Nothobranchius furzeri: one gene and its partner. The protein of the gene in region 1 interacts with the protein of each later gene in a pairwise test. Links are inferred from orthologs where the notes say so. Each region holds a gene or a part of one and is shown on either strand. Other genes may lie near its edges.

Region 1 (7,901 bases):
TGAGATGAATTTTAAACAACTTAATTTTCTAACTATGAGTAAAAAAAATAAAATAAAATAAAACAAGCAGCTTGATTTTACAAAAAAATCTCACAAGTATTTATCCTGTCTTTTCTTTCATCTCTTCAATTGCTCTCCTTCGTTTCAGGTTGGTATAGAGCAGAGCAAAATTGACGATGTATGTGGACACACACACCATGCAGAAATCTCCCAGAACAAAGGCCAGAATAGATGCGAGATAAAGAGAACCAGCCATGGACACCCAGGAGGACAGGACCAAGGCCAGGGCTGCTTTTCTGGACGGAGACAGTCCTGCAACAAAGACATGAATTACAGTCCCAGTTTGTGCAGAAGCAATCCCATAATCTTTGGTACGTTCTTGCTGTGTCTGATTTCGAATTCCATTTTTGGTTCTTTTTTAAAAACACAGAAAAGGTTTCCCATAATTTTCATATATGTAATTAAAATACAAACCAAACCACAGAAGACAAAGAAAAAAGCTTTCAGTCTAAAAACGCTGTTCTGGATTTAACATCAGACTAACCGAGGCCCATCTGTAGAGTGTAAAATATGATGCCAAGCAAACTGTTGGGTTGGTTCAGGGGGCTGTCTTTGTCCACGAAGAACTGGACCAGACCAAAACCACGTCCCCATCTGCAGAAAAAAAGAGTCAAAGTTCAGGCAAAACGCTTGTCTTGATAAATTACGTTTTTGCTTCTATTAAAACCCATCCATCCAATTGTCTTGTTATTCGTAGATAAATACTCCCACAATTTAAAATTGCATTCAAATGATTAACAAAATACTGTTTAGCAAAGGCTTTGGCATGTCTAGCAGAGGGACTCTGAGCTTTTCTGGAACAACAAGAAAGATAATTCCAATTGTTTTAAACAGCTACTCTAACAAAGACCAGTGTGCATGTGCATATTGGTGCAAGTGATGGAAAGTATTTCAATAATTTAACACGTGGATACCAAAGAGCTAGCAATCCCACGAGGAATCTGTTCTTGCGAAAATAAACCATATCAGCGAGGTTTGTTGGTTCTGCAGCTGTCTAAACAGAGCGAGGGGAGGAGAGATCTCCTACCTGGAGGTGAAAACCTTGGAGCAGCTCACGGATTCCCCCAGGTCACACATAGCTCTGTAGTCTGGGTCTCTCTCTCTGGAGATTTCCACATGGAGGGCATAAACAGACAGACACAGACCGAACAAACACAAAAACACTCTCGCTTTTCTCTCCCATCTCGGTAAACCCTGACGCGCAGCCATAAGGGAGACTTGGAACTATTATTTGTGTCGAACTGAAGAACTGACCCCTGGAACCGAACAGAATCCTCACGCAAAGCAACGTGTTACGTGTTAGAAACGCCATTTTCACTTCTGATTGGTCTAATAGTGTTTCATCCCTCTCTCTCTAACTGGACGATTCGGTCCACGTGTTACAGCAGACAGGAAGAGTTCTCTTGTTTCTTATTATTATATTTTTTATTTAGTAAATTTACAAACAAACATGGCACTTTGACAATGTTAAGTCCAAAACTTAAATTCAAAAGGAGCAGTTAACTTGCTATAACATTTGTAAATATCTAGTAATAAGACAACAACAAGAGACAAAAGAACATAAAGAACAAGTAGAGTACAGCTTTCAATGAGGGTACAGCATTTATCATATAGAAATAGGAAATCACTTTGGAAGTTCAGCTAACGTGTTATATAGATTTTTGCTATATTTGTTGAGGTGTTTCAGAGATTTTAAACATAATTGAAATTCTATTAAAAAACATTGAAGACATGGGATGATTGTAAAATTCATTGTTTATGGGTACAAAATTGGTTGTTTCTTGTTTAAAGGGACTTTTCGGACTTTTGAATTTTTATGCTCGCGATTGCCCCCTCAGGCCAAAAGCGTAACGGCAGCTTCAATAGTAGGCTTGTGCACGAGGCGCGCATGCTGTACGTGCACACTCCTTAAGGAAAATATATAACAGCTGAGACAGTCCCGTGTGTGTGTGTGTGTGTGTGTGTGTGTGTGTGTGTGTGTGTGTGTGTGTGTGTGTGTGTGTGTGTGTGTGTGTGTGTGTGTGTGGCCCGGAGGACAGAGGACAAGAGAACACTCAGTTAATTAATTAAATAATTTGGTTCTGTACTCTTCAGCACAGCCGACAAAGGTTTAAGATGGGTCAGTCCTCCTGCATGCTCAGATCATTCCCTTCCCTTGCTTGAACAATTGTTCCAAAATGAAAGTTGAACCCACATCTTTTTTATTCGTGAATTCAATGCCTTTCGGTGAGTCTCAAAAAAAAATTTGGGCATCTTATTACTGTAAAAAACATATACCATCAATGTAAATATAGTCGAGTGTTCACCAAACTAGGGTTCTTATGTAAATCACAGAGGTGTGACCAAGTCACTGCTTTGCAAGTCACAAGTAAGTTACAAGTCTTTCCAGTCAAGTCAAAGACAACCAAGTCCAAGTCGAGTCCAAAGTCAATGATATGGAAGTCCAAGTCAAGTCCAAGTCCTTAACTTTGAATTTTCAAGTCATAATCAAGTCATCTGTCCAACTTCAATTGAACCCTCCTACTGTCCTAATGGGTGACCCCGCCAGGAAAGTTGACCATTGAGCAGGAATGACGGTTTATCCCTTGAGGTCCATGTGGCAGCAGGGGTGAGGTCATATAAACCATCAACCCTGCTCAATGGTCAACGTTCCTGGCGGGGCCACCCATTAGGACAGTGGGAGGGTTAATGACAATGATAATAAATAAATTCCAGAAATAAAGCTTCTTTAAAATCCATTTATTTGCTGAAACAAGTAAAAAGTGCAACTGAAATAGATTACAAACAAAGTGCTGCTGCATTTAGCAGAACAAGATCAAACCCAGAACGAAGAATGATGTAAGATTTTTGTTCATGTCATGTCCCTTTTGTGCTAAAATATGAAAAACGCTCAAGTCGTCATCAAGTCAACAGATGCAAGTCGATTCATATCGCAAGTCATTGGAGTTCAAGTCTAAGTCAAGTCGTAAGTCTTTATAGATTTTATCAAGTCAGAAGTCATTAAAATAAACACTCGAGTCTGACTCAAGTCCAAGTCGTGTGACTCGAGTCCACACCTCTGTTAAATCGTGTTGTTATAATTGAATACGACACATTTACCGGTTCTGGACAAATTGTGTTGCTTTGTTCAAAAAGTACAAAGTACACAAACCATGAAAGCAAATTAAAACAGTATTTAAAATTGGTATCATACGTAAGCTCACATCAAAAACGTGCCTCAACAGGCTAAAAGCTATTATTTTAAAAATGTCATCTTTTCTGAAAAAAAAAAAATTAACTAATGTAATTTGTGCTTTAATTCTATTTAGAAGGGGGGTTCAGTAAGATCTTATTTAAAACAAACTTTTATTAATTTTCTGCCGAAAGATAATTCCTCCTTTTTAGAAGTCTTTTGACTAATATTTTATTATTTTACCATTTAGAATTTGCTACAGTCCCTTGATTGCTCCATATACAAATTGTTTGTATAACACTGGCTGGTATTTTTTGCTCGATCGGAATCTGGCAAATTGCAGCGTCGCCACCCAAAATTAAATAAATACCACAGAGCCCTTAGTGTCCAATGTAAAGTCCCGCCCTCTTTAGACGTTCTCTATTCCTATTGGTTAGTTTTCTGGTCCTCCTCTCCTTTAATTGGTCCGCCGCTTGGCACTCAACTAAAACATGGAAGTGATTGAGGAAGCTGCAGACAAAACAACTGTATAATCGTGCAGGTTGGCGATTTAAAAAAGAGTGGACCGTAGGGGCTTTGCTCACGACTTGGACGCATTGTACGCAATTTGTAAACGGGGTTTCGAAGTGTGAAGTTTTGTTTTCATGTGGATGAAGTTATGGTTTTACGGCTCAAGAGAAACCTAGAGCCTCACGTAACGTTAACTAGCCGACGCCCCTGTGGGTTAGGCTGCTCCTGTCAAGTAAGTTATTCTTTGTTACCATGTAACGTCAATGTTTAAATGCTGTAATCATCCGCTTCAGTTGGGTTCGTCATCAGGCTTCTCTAAACACTAAAAGCTACAGGTTTGGTCTAAAAGAGTTCAATCCAGGCCTCAAGGTGTGAAGTAAACGAGGAACAATGCACTGCTAAAAATAAAGGAAACACAAAAATAAGACACCCTAGATCTGAATGAATGAAGTATCGTTATTAATCTCATGAGGGATCTCCTCCGAGATCTGGACTAAAGCATCCACCAACTTCTGGACAGTGTGTGGCAACGTGGTGTTGGTGGATGGAGCGAGATGATGTTCCAGATGTGCTCAATTAGACTCAGTTCAGGGAAACGGGCGGGCCAGTCCATAGCATCAGTGCCTTGTCAGGTGAAACTGACTGTTGCTTCCTAAGTGGACAATTTGGTTTCACAGAAGTGTGATTGACTTGGAATTACATTGTGCAGTTTATGCGTTCACTTTATTTTCTTGAGCAGTGCATTTAAACCAGGAGCACGTACGAGCTATCTCATATACTACATAAATTAATTAATGAAAAGGCAATAAAATAAAGATAAAATAATATTTTTAAGATGATTAATGTCTCCGTGCTGTTGGAATACACACACACACACACACACACACACACACACACACTCTATGTGTAACTTTTTCACAGGCTGGCAAAGTATGGGATTTTTTCCAAGTTCGGATTAGTACAGAAGAAAATGAAAAGACTTGAAACTCTACGTTTATGTTTATTCCCAGAAAAAAAATATGACTGAATAATGCATTATGGCAGTCAATGGCATAGATGCCATTAATTACAGTTAACAGCTGTGTATTAAACCTTAACAGAAGATCATTTTGAATTAAATTTCAAAAACAGACAGAAAAATGAATGAAAATAATAAAATAAGATCCAGAGTTGTCTAAAATTTGTGCAAACTCTTAATGCTTTTTTAGTGATTCCATTAATTTTTTTAAAATGACATCTGAGGTTACGTCTTATTTCTTCATAGACAGTTAAATGAACATTTTTACCTATTCAATAATCCCAGGTGTACCTCTGCTCAAATAATTTTTAAATGTTACCACAAACATTTTTTTCTTTGATTTAGCAAAACAATTTACTAAGTAAACATAATAACTTCAGAACATATTATTAAGGTTCACCAACAGTCTATGTTTTCATGGTTTACGTCTGGCCCATTTCATCAGTTGGTAAGAGTGTTTAATACCTTTTTTAAATAAGCAGAGAAACTTTGTCTTTATAAACATGTAAAAACTTAAAACGCTTATCAATCACAACATTGACTTCATAATCATTTATGTAATAATAAAATAATATTTGACAGATATTCAGAGAAGGACATGGGAAACAATATAACTTACGGACTCACTTTGGTACTACAGAAACATGTCCACTGAGCGCTGTGGAGATGCCAAAAGCACCATGTCGCCTGAAAAAATGGCCACCGAAAACAGCAGAGAGAGCCAGAACCAGCGTGAGGCCGAGGCAGCAGGCAGCACCTCAGACACCAGCACAGCAGCAACAAACCTGGCTTTGCTTAAAGCGCACTCTCTAGATGTGAAGTTCGATGTTGGGGAGGAGTACGATATCATAGAAACCATTGGTACTGGTGCTTATGGCGTCGTTTCATCGGCCAGAAGAAGGGACAACGGTAAGGAAGATGTCTTTAAAGAGTTTGGAAAATGTCCTCTGTTTGAAATAAGTCACGATGAAATGTTCTACATGTGCACTCCACAGGCAAGCAGGTGGCGATAAAGAAGATCTCCAATGCTTTTGAAGTGGTAACAAATGCTAAACGAACATTAAGAGAGCTGAAGATTCTCAAGCATTTCAAACATGACAACATTATTGCCATCAAAGACATCCTACAGCCGAACCTTCCCCACTCTGCCTTTAAGTCCGTGTATGTAATGTACTTTATTGTTTTTGTGATGCCAACTCTGCACATATCTGAACATTACACTGTTGCAAACACAAGATCCTTAGTATTTGGTCAGCTGCTTGTCTAAGTCATCTCTGTGTGTGCAGGTATGTGGTGTTGGACCTCATGGAGAGTGACCTACACCAGATCATTCACTCTGCGCAGACTCTAACCCCTGAGCACACGCGTTACTTCCTGTACCAGCTCCTCCGTGGCCTCAAATACGTGCACTCTGCCAATGTCATCCACCGCGACCTCAAACCCTCCAACCTGTTGGTGAATGAAAACTGTGAGCTGAAAATTGGTGACTTTGGCATGGCGAGGGGTCTGAGTTCACACCCAGAGGAGTCTCACTCCTTCATGACGGAGTACGTGGCGACCCGATGGTACCGTGCTCCTGAGCTGCTTCTGTCTTTGAACCATTACAGTTTGGCCATTGACATGTGGTCTGTGGGCTGCATCTTCGCTGAAATGTTGGGCCGTAAACAGCTTTTTCCTGGGAAACATTATGTGCACCAGCTCCAGCTGATTTTGAGTGTGCTAGGCACTCCTCCTGAGGATTTGATCAGCACCATTAGAGCTGAGAGGGTCCGTTCCTATGTTCAGAGTCTTCCACCGCGGACCCCTGTGCCTTTGGCTAAACTGTACCCCCAAGCTGAACCGGAGGCTTTAGGCCTATTGGCGGCTATGTTGCGCTTCAATTCCCGTGAACGCATCAGCGTGAAGGACGCACTGGAGCATCCTTACCTGGCTAAGTACCATGACTCGGACGACGAGCCCAGCTGTGTGCCAGCTTTTGACTTTGAGTTTGATAAGCTTCCAATGAATAAAGAACAAATTAAAGAGGCCATTTTGATGGAGATCCAGGACTTTCATAAAAAGAACCTGAACTGTCGTCAAAGACTCCAGTTCAGGCCTTTGCCTAGGGCCCATAGTGGAGCGGCAGCTCAAAACAGCAACCAGCAAAGAGCTCAACCAGTAAATGTGGACCTGAACAAACAAATGGCACAGCACACACAAATCCAGCAACCCAGAGATGTGAAACCTCATCAGCAACACGATCAGCCACCAGCAGATGTGAGCCAAGCATTTTCAAACCAGATAAAAACCTTTCATAAGCCTGCAGATCTTTTAGAAGTCGTCCCACCTCATGTGACCCATAATTTCCCCCTCCTCAGTAAAAGCCAAGCGTGTCCCGTTGATGTGGACATGCCCAGTGCCAACTCTGACAGTGGTCAGCTGGAGACAATTGATTTAACAACCCCAGTGTCCACTCAGGATGCTCCGTCTGAATCGATGAGAGTCAGCGAGTCCCAGCTGCCTCCTAGCACCCAGAGCCGGCCCGTGGCCTCCATCCCTGCGACACAAGCACAGACCATCACCCCCCTTCCCACCACTGTGCCTTCACTTTCTCTGTCGGCAGCGCAGGCCCAGTCTCTGTCCCAGTCACTTTCCCAGTCTCTGTCCAAGAATGCAAGGCCTCCTCCGCGTGCACCAGAGGGAACCAGGAAAGGCACCGCCATTTCAGACGATACTAAAGCTGCACTCAAGGCAGCCCTACTGAAATCAGCTCTCAGACATAAAGTCAGGACCGGTAAGTTCATTTTTCTACCATCCTCTCTGGTATGCTTCCCTTTCTCGATTTGATTCTGATTGTGTTTTGCAGATGGAGGTGTCTCAGTTCTGGGCACTGACGCGGTTATATCAGGAGGCATCTCGTCTTCTACTCCTGAGTTGCGGCGGCCTGTCACAGCCCAGGAGCGTCAACGAGAGAGAGAAGAGAAAAGAAGGAAGAGGCAGGAACGCGCAAAAGAGAAGGAGAGGAAAATGAAAGAAAAGGAAAGACGAGAGGGAAAACAAGGGGATTTGCTGGGTGGTGTTCTGCTGAGCGACAACGACAAAAGCCTGCTGCAGCGCTGGACGAAGATGATGGACAGCTGCAGCGACAAATCCCATAATGCT
Region 2 (7,933 bases), on another chromosome or scaffold:
TGGAGCGAGACTCCAGCCAACAGCATCATTAACACAACGAAAAAATCTCTGTATTTTATAATTATTCAAATCAATTAGATCATAACAAATGCAAGTTAAAGCGCACGAGCTTCCTGCTGTTACTCAGCTGTTCTCAAGAGGGCAGGTGACCTGTTGTAGCTCTACTGCTGCATTAACTGACCTCTGGCCCCAATTATTCCTCACTTCGCCTGCATCCGGTTAGAGATGCTAAACATCCATCTGTGGCTTGTTTTGTAAAATGTTTTAACGAGGTTTAGTTCAACATCTCTAAAGGGAAACTAAGCAGATGCAATGTTTGTAAGCGGCTACTTTTAATAAATTATCAATAGAATATAAAGGTATTCAATAAAATGTAATTTTCCATATAATATGGATTATCAATTTTATTGAGCCTTTGATATTCAATTGATGATGAAACTAGGTACGTTGGGTACGCCAGGGAAACAGCACTTATAATTTGACACGGAGACAGAAATATAGTTTATAAAAATCTATATTACTATATTTCTGCTACTAGAATGAAATGACAAATGATTATGTATGCCGAGTTAAGGTGATATCAACTGAATGAGAAAGGATGAAATACGAGCTTAGATGCTATGTTAATAAACCTAATTAAGTCTTAAAAGATTGTGATGTCTGGGTTGTAAAAGTAGTTTAGCTGAATGCTTAAAGAGCAAGTCACTCCAAATCAACATTTTTTTTGCTGTTAAACTATAAATGAGTGTCTGATCGTGCTGTAGACAAATGTAGTCAATAAATTTGGCACTTTAGTGCATCTTAGTTAAAATTTAAATTTTCTGCCTAAAACGGTCAACGATGCACGTCATCAGGCAAAAACTCTGCACTGCGTTTGAATTTAAATCTGCCATTGCTATTGGCTAAGAGGTACCCTGATGTTAGATGGGACATTATGTCACAATGTCGTGAGTGTATTTGTTAGCGGCTCCACCCTCTGTTTGCTAGGCAACAGCATTTGTTGCATTTTTCAAACAGGAAGTGGGAGTTGAGAAAGAATCTGGTCGGGGGTGACTTGCTCTTTAACAAATTATTAAAACCATCCTGTCGCCAGGTGAGAGACCACGATTACCCTTGTGATGGAAGTTCTAGGTAGGTCCAGCTGGCTAGGGAGTAGTCAGCTTGCTGTTGGGAGGAGTTGACTTCTGGAAGGTCAAAGGTCGCAGCTTCCTTTGAATTTGCACAACTGGCCAGTGAGATACATCCAGGTCTGCTGGCGAGATGTTGCACGTCTGAGAGGTTTCTCTGATGGGAGTTTTGCAAAGAAGGATGGTTCCTTATGCTACTGACCCAGTTGGCCTAACAGGACAGCGTGCTAGAACTGAAGAATCCAGGAAGTAAATTGTCTTTTATAAAACGGGTTCTTTACAAAGTTAGACAAACCAGTATGTAGAACGTCTTCAGACACCACTTCGTTCCTGCAACACTTAGAGGCTCATTACACTTAACATGAAGTAAATCTGTTATACAGTCATTATCAATATAGTAATATTATGTGAATATACTGATAATAAATCATTAAATTCAACAAGTAGAATCATGTGGTGTTTTTAAGATCTGAAATAAAACATTTCCAGAATAAACATTTATGTTGATTCATTCATTACTGTGATGCTGTCAGTATTATTGACTGTAAAGATAGGAAATTATTTTATGAAAGAGTGTTGAATTAAGAACTTTATTGACACAACAATGTAAACAAACATAAAAATATTATACAAACAAAACAGACGGAAGAAGAAAAGCTGGGACTGCTTCACTTCTGGAAGGTAGCGTGCAGGTGAGCTTTGAAGGCTAGAGAGAGAAAAAAAACAGTCAGAACTACAGCTCCCAAAATCGTTTGCTGCATGTACAGAGCTCACAAACTGGTCTGAGGTCAGTTCTACATCTGTATCATCTGCAGGTCATTTAGTTCACTCCAGGAGAAAACAGGCTCAGCTCAGTTTAAAAGGACAGCTGTCTGATTGGCTGCAGAGGAGGTTGAACCCAGCAGATGTTTAAAATGAAAAGGAATAAAGTCACAAAAGGAGTCCAAAAAGGTTTCAAATGAAGGCAACTGGACTTCTCTGGCTTCTTGAAGACGTTTTGCTTCTCCTTTGAGGAGCTTTGTCAATTCTGACTGGAATCTGTTATTTAACGAGCCGAAACTACTCTGAGTACCCCTCCTCTCTACCCACTGAGTCGTTGGCCTCTATAGACAATAGGCAGCTACAGCTTATAAGCTTGACTCTCCCATTTCCAGTTAGAACTGACAAAGCTCCTCGGATGAGAAGCGAAACGTCTTCAAACCAAAGAAGTCCAGTCACTTTCATTTGAATCCTTTTGGGTTACCATGACCTGGATGACAGAACCTTCACCAGCAAAGTCACAAAAGAGAACTGCTCAAAAGTACCCAAACACCGATTGTATTAGTAGCTGGCCGTTCTCTGGGTTCTGCTGGCTGCCTGAAAGGTTGTGGGTGTACTTACCACCTTGGTTGCTCCACAGTTCTGCTGCGGTCGTGTTCAGAGGACTCTCGTTGTTTGGTTCTGGGGAATACAGAAGGAATTGTGTGCTGCTCTCTGAGCTGTGCAAAGATGGCTCTGATGGATCCATCAGGTTTTAGCAGACAGCAAACTGGTGGTTCCGGTTACCTCCCAGTAGACTCTGGATGGACAGCAGGATAGAACGAACATCGTACAGTGCCGACCACTTGTCCTTCAGGATGTCGAGACAGATGAAGCCCTGATCGTCCACATTGGGATGGAAACACGGAGTGACGAACTTTACCCGAGGAGCATGGTACGGATACCCAGCTGGAAACTCCAGAGACAGACGGTACCGGAGGCCTTCGTACACCTGGGCACACAGGTAAGAGTGTCGGGTGAATCAGAGCAGCAAGTGGAGGGGTCAAGTTTTAGATCGTGCTGTATTTATGTGGTCATACTGTTCCTTGGGCTCCATCGATGGTTCCGACCCATTTGAAGAGATTATCCGATTCTGGAAAAGCAGAGATGCCCTTATCACCCGACATCTACAGGAGGGAGGAACGCACAGGTCACATGACCTCAGAAATATCAGGTTTTGTTGATTTTACTAATGTCAGGTATGTTGGTATTGATGCTCCTGTGTGAATGATCAGACCAGAGAAATCAATCACAGAAACAAACAAATCATTGATAAGTGTCTGGATGAGAACGGAGCAGCTGACCTGCAGATGACTAACGCCACCTGTGCACTTCAAGCTAAACACTCATCCTAACCAGCACCAACTCTGCATTAGTGTTGAGGCAGGAGATCGTGTGACTATGGGTGCATCAATCAATGAGTAAACACCACCACCCAATGAGGATGAACTTGTGCAGGTCATCAGGTTCGTTAACATTCTGACTAACAACTGTCCTGTGACCCGTTAGGATCGTCCATCTTTCATTTTGTTATTGAAACCAAAATAAAACTATAGATGTGAACTTACCATGAGAGTCATCAGCTCCTGCTGCAACCTACACACACACACACACACACACATACGAATTAAACAAGTGCAACACAGGTCCAGAAATAAGCTGCAGTAATAAGATCAATAACAGAACAATTTGTTTCACAAATAAAAAAAATTCAAGCACCTGATCAGTTAACAACTCAAACTTTCCTGTTTCATAAAATTCATTTTTGTGATGAATAAAACCAGGAGAGATCAGATTTCTTCAGTTTTAGGATCACTTCATTAGCTAAAATATCCAGAATTGAGTTTCAATTTTATTTCCAAATCTGAAGGATCACGCTTTTTCGATTAATGATGCTCTTGTTCCAGATGTTCCCAGCAGAACACTTGGCTCTCAGGCTGCTTTTTACTTGTGGCTTCAACTTTCCAGCGGTCCTAAAAGTAGTAAGGAGGCAGAACTTCCAGTTCTCAGGCTCCTCTGGTGGAACCAGCTTCATGTTTCCACCACATCAAGCAGAAGCACCTTTGCGTAGACTCTAGGTTAGTTTAGATTATCCTGGCACATCTCTAGTTATGCAGCTGCAGGCTCACATTGCTGGAGAACTCACTGGGTTATTGATATTTTATTGTCCAAAGAAGAACCAAGTCCAGCAGAAACGTAGACCGACAGATGGCGTTTCATGTGTGTTATATATCTCCAACTAAAGTTTAGAGCAAAACATTCACTCCCACTCAGAATTAACTGCTTCTACGGAGCCGCTGGTTCTGAACAACATCACACACACACACACACACACACACACACACACACACACCACCTTAGTTCCATCAGTACACAGTGTTTAAGTTATTCTTGTTTAAATTGTGTAGAAGTACATTTCTTTAACTATTTTAAACCTGACTCTCTCTCTTTCCTTGGAGTTAGTACAAAGTGTTGCTTAATCCCTGCAATAAAAAGTTCCGATCTTCTGAACAAAGATCCATCAGATTGATATTTCATATTTCTATGGAATCTCACATTTTATGGTTCAGAAGTAAGATGTAAACGACCCATTCTTTACACCTGTAAGGTTCCGGTTCTGTAACGGCCCGGAACTCACCGTTTGGTCACCGAGCCTCTGGTCGCGTTGCCACTGCTTTCGCTGCCTTTCAGAGCGGCCGTGGAGGAAGCTGCAGCCGCGGCGGGGTCCATATTCTGGGAGGCCATGAATGCTGCTAGTCCGACTCCTGCCGAGGACACAGATATAACATCAGACGGACTGAGCAGGGGAGGCAGGCCGAACCGAGCCGATCAAATCCAACCGAGCGGGCCGTAGCTTCTGTAGCTAACAGCAGCTACATGCTAACTCCCGGAGATTTCAGAGAAAACGCTGAGCCGTGCCTCGTGGTACCGGTCAGAACCACTGGCTCTTTGTCTTCATGCTAACACATGATTACATTTATAGCCATACTATAGCTGATTTAAACACTCACCGGTGTTCAGTTCGTGGTGGAAGGCTGGATTCTCTAGATTCAAACCGATTCTTCTGCCGCCCCCAGTTTAAAACGACGTTTCCTCACAAACAGCCAATCAGTGTCTGACTTTCAAAAAATGAACTACCCTCATCGAACCAATGAGAAGATGGTGATTAAAAAGCTACACTGTAATTGGCCAGTAGAATCAGCCAGAACCCGCCCCCACCATCTAGGCGTTCACACAGCGGAAGTCATTGGTTCAATTTGTTATTTTAAACGCGTTTTTTAAATAAATGAACTTAAAATCTAAGTTATTAAACACATTTTTGTTTACCCCTCCTCCTACAGGGATGTATAAAATCTCCTAGAAGAGTCAAGAGCCTAAATCAAGTTAAATGATGGATCACAAAAATTGGAGCTTGGGAGGATGAGTACACCTGCAGAGGGTCAGAGGGGAATATATATATATATATATATATATATATATATATATATATATATATATATATATATATATATATATATATATATATATATATATATATATATATATAATGAAGTGGCTGATATCAAGAAATCCTACCAAGAACTAGAAAGAGCTGGTCTGAAGAATAGCACAGAGGCACTCATCATGGCTGCACAGGAACAGGCCCTGAACATCTACCACACCAGACAAGACCCAAGGTGTAGAACCCTGAGACAATCCACCACATAACTGCAGGGTGTAAGATGCTGGGAAGGAAAGCATACAAGGAACGCCACAACCAAGCTGCTGGCATAGTGTACAGGAACGTCTGTGCAGAGCATGGACTGGAAGCCCCAAGGTCAAAGTGGGTAACACCCCCTAAGGTGGTTGAGAACAAGAGCCAAGCTCTTGTGGGACTTCCAGATCCAAACTGATAAAATGGTGATGGAGAACCATCCGGACATTGTGTTGGAGGACAAACAACAGAGGACAGCTGTTGTGGTTGATATAGCGATACAAAGTGATGTAACCTCAGGAAAAAGGAGCATGAGAAACTACCTGGGCCTCAAAGAAGAACTTGAGAAAGCCTGGAGAATGAAGACATCGGTGGTGCTCATGGGCATCAGGGCAGTAACCCCCAGACTGGAGGAATCCCAGGAAAACCATCTCAGTCCAGAAAAGTGCAGCTCTAGGAACAGCTAAGATACTGCAGAACCCTCAAGCTCCCAGGCCTCTGGTAGAGGACCCAAGCTTGGATGAGACCACCCGCGGAGGGTGAGATGGGAATTGTGTGTGTGTGTGTAAGCCCATGTTTATTTTTTCAAAGCAACAATAATACCACAAACCATAAATACAAAGTGAACAAGAAAATGAAAGTTTTTTGTTGTTGCAACCAAATCCCATTAATTAGGAAAAACAGGTTTTTAAACTAGAATACAAGAACAAAATCACAAAGGTAAAAAATAAAATAATTTTTCTCTATTTAATTCAAGGATTAAAACTTAACATTTCAAGTATTTTTGTGAATTTTCTTTGAAAGGTTAAAAATGATGTCATGACAATATTTTTCTTTTTAAAGCATTTTATCACCATATTCTCTCACAATGCCCCTCAGACCTATCTGGAACGTTTTAGGACTTTGTAGCACCTTCACCGTATTATTTAGAATTAAACTGCATCATTTCACAGATCCCATAATTATTTGAGTCACTGGCGCACGGCCCCACCTGAATCTGAACAAAAACACAAACAGAAGTTTTCAATTAAAGTTTATTGTTTAGTGCAAATAATAAAAAAAGTTTCCAAACTCGTCACATTTTCATTTTCACAAAGTTCAGTCAGCTTAACGACTCAAACCACTCACCTGTCTGGGTCAGCTGGTGGACGGAGCTTCACTCAACACATCTGCATTCCATCTGGTCAGCTGATTTTCTGTCTCTGGATCAGTGAACCAATCACAGTCCACAACCTACAGCAGCCAGTCCTCAGAGACCGATGAGCGTAGGTCTCCATCATCTGTTACCGTGATGACAGAGCTCGGTATCGGTCACATCCAAAAGAGGAATGCAGCTCCATTTGTCCAAAACCAGTGACCTCTCACGGACCACTGAGCAGGACCTAGGTCCGAGTTCAGCCTATAGAGTTCTGATATGGTTCTGATCCACTTTGCTCCAACTGCAGCTGGATGACCCGTTTGAGTTCTGCTGCTCTCATCTGGTCTACAGTGCATAGAAACCAAAGGAATTCAACAAACAAAACAAAAAAACACATGACTCAGAAATGCAGCAGCAGAACATCACCTGACCCCTGATCTTTGACCCCTGACCTGCTCCAGCTGCTTCATCTCTGAGCTCAGCCTTGATTTATTTTCAGGAGATAAGATTTTGTTTAATCAACAGTTCAGCAGCTTGTTTCATCCAGAAACCTCCAGCGAAGTTGTCTTTTCATCCCTTTGTTTCCCATCTCTTCGGTGAAATGTTTGTTTTTTAGTCTCTGATCCGAGATCGGCTTCCGGGTCGATGGGACTTGCGTTAGTCAGACAAAGTTTCCACTCAGCTGATTTCTGCTTCCTTGTGATACACAGAACAACTCACCACAGCTTCAGCTTTAAATCAGATAAAGATGAATCCTCTGAGCTCCTCACCTGTCCTTTCAGGTCACAGGTGAGACTCCAGTTGAAATTAGTCTGCTAGTTCAGTTTTTACCTAATGTCCAGGAAAATCATCTCAGATTTGCCTCTTCTATCCAACAGTGATGGGAAACTCCCTTTAAAAACAATTTTAATCCTGCAAACTACAAACAATCACCTGAAGAATTCTCACCTGGTGCTAACCCCACTCATACACAATCTAAGGGAGGTTAAGCCTTCACAGCTTTTACTTTGAAAGGACTTTCCTTTGTTTCCACTGTGTCAGTGGGCCGAGTCTGAGCCAGCCCCACCCAGCTGGTGCCAGTCCACCCAGTGCTGACCTGGGACCAGCCTGTTCAGATGGATGAAGGTCTGCCCCAGCAGCGTGTTCTCCCAGAAGGCGCCGTCGCTCAGAACCCTG

Evidence for each region.
Region 2: the proteins of mapk7 (region 1) and ube2c interact in binary tests that used the Homo sapiens proteins (3 or more experiments, as listed by UniProt). The two-hybrid records come from large-scale screens. The link is inferred for Nothobranchius furzeri from reciprocal best matches to the Homo sapiens genes MAPK7 and UBE2C.

What each region holds. Positions count from the first base shown.
Region 1 is NC_091756.1:34,355,932-34,363,832, reverse strand, and holds the start of mapk7 (mitogen-activated protein kinase 7), read left to right. Parts: upstream 1-3,713; 5' UTR 3,714-3,974; intron 3,975-5,400; 5' UTR 5,401-5,404; coding exon 5,405-5,669; intron 5,670-5,740; coding exon of another isoform or gene 5,741-5,755; coding exon 5,756-5,921; intron 5,922-6,046; coding exon 6,047-7,533; coding exon of another isoform or gene 7,534-7,605; coding exon 7,606-7,901. Other genes in the region: vkorc1 (vitamin K epoxide reductase complex subunit 1), read right to left, coding at 101-312, 545-654, 1,088-1,269. UniProt on the Homo sapiens protein: Plays a role in various cellular processes such as proliferation, differentiation and cell survival. The upstream activator of MAPK7 is the MAPK kinase MAP2K5.
Region 2 is NC_091743.1:77,060,163-77,068,095, forward strand, and holds ube2c (ubiquitin-conjugating enzyme E2 C), read right to left. Parts: upstream 5,043-7,933; 5' UTR 4,937-5,042; intron 4,691-4,936; 5' UTR 4,671-4,690; coding exon 4,564-4,670; intron 3,522-4,563; coding exon 3,494-3,521; intron 3,053-3,493; coding exon 2,966-3,052; intron 2,878-2,965; coding exon 2,673-2,877; intron 2,568-2,672; coding exon 2,508-2,567; intron 1,834-2,507; coding exon 1,796-1,833; 3' UTR 1,704-1,795; downstream 1-1,703. Other genes in the region: pik3c2b (phosphatidylinositol 4-phosphate 3-kinase C2 domain-containing subunit beta), read right to left, coding at 7,795-7,933. UniProt on the Homo sapiens protein: Accepts ubiquitin from the E1 complex and catalyzes its covalent attachment to other proteins. In vitro catalyzes 'Lys-11'- and 'Lys-48'-linked polyubiquitination.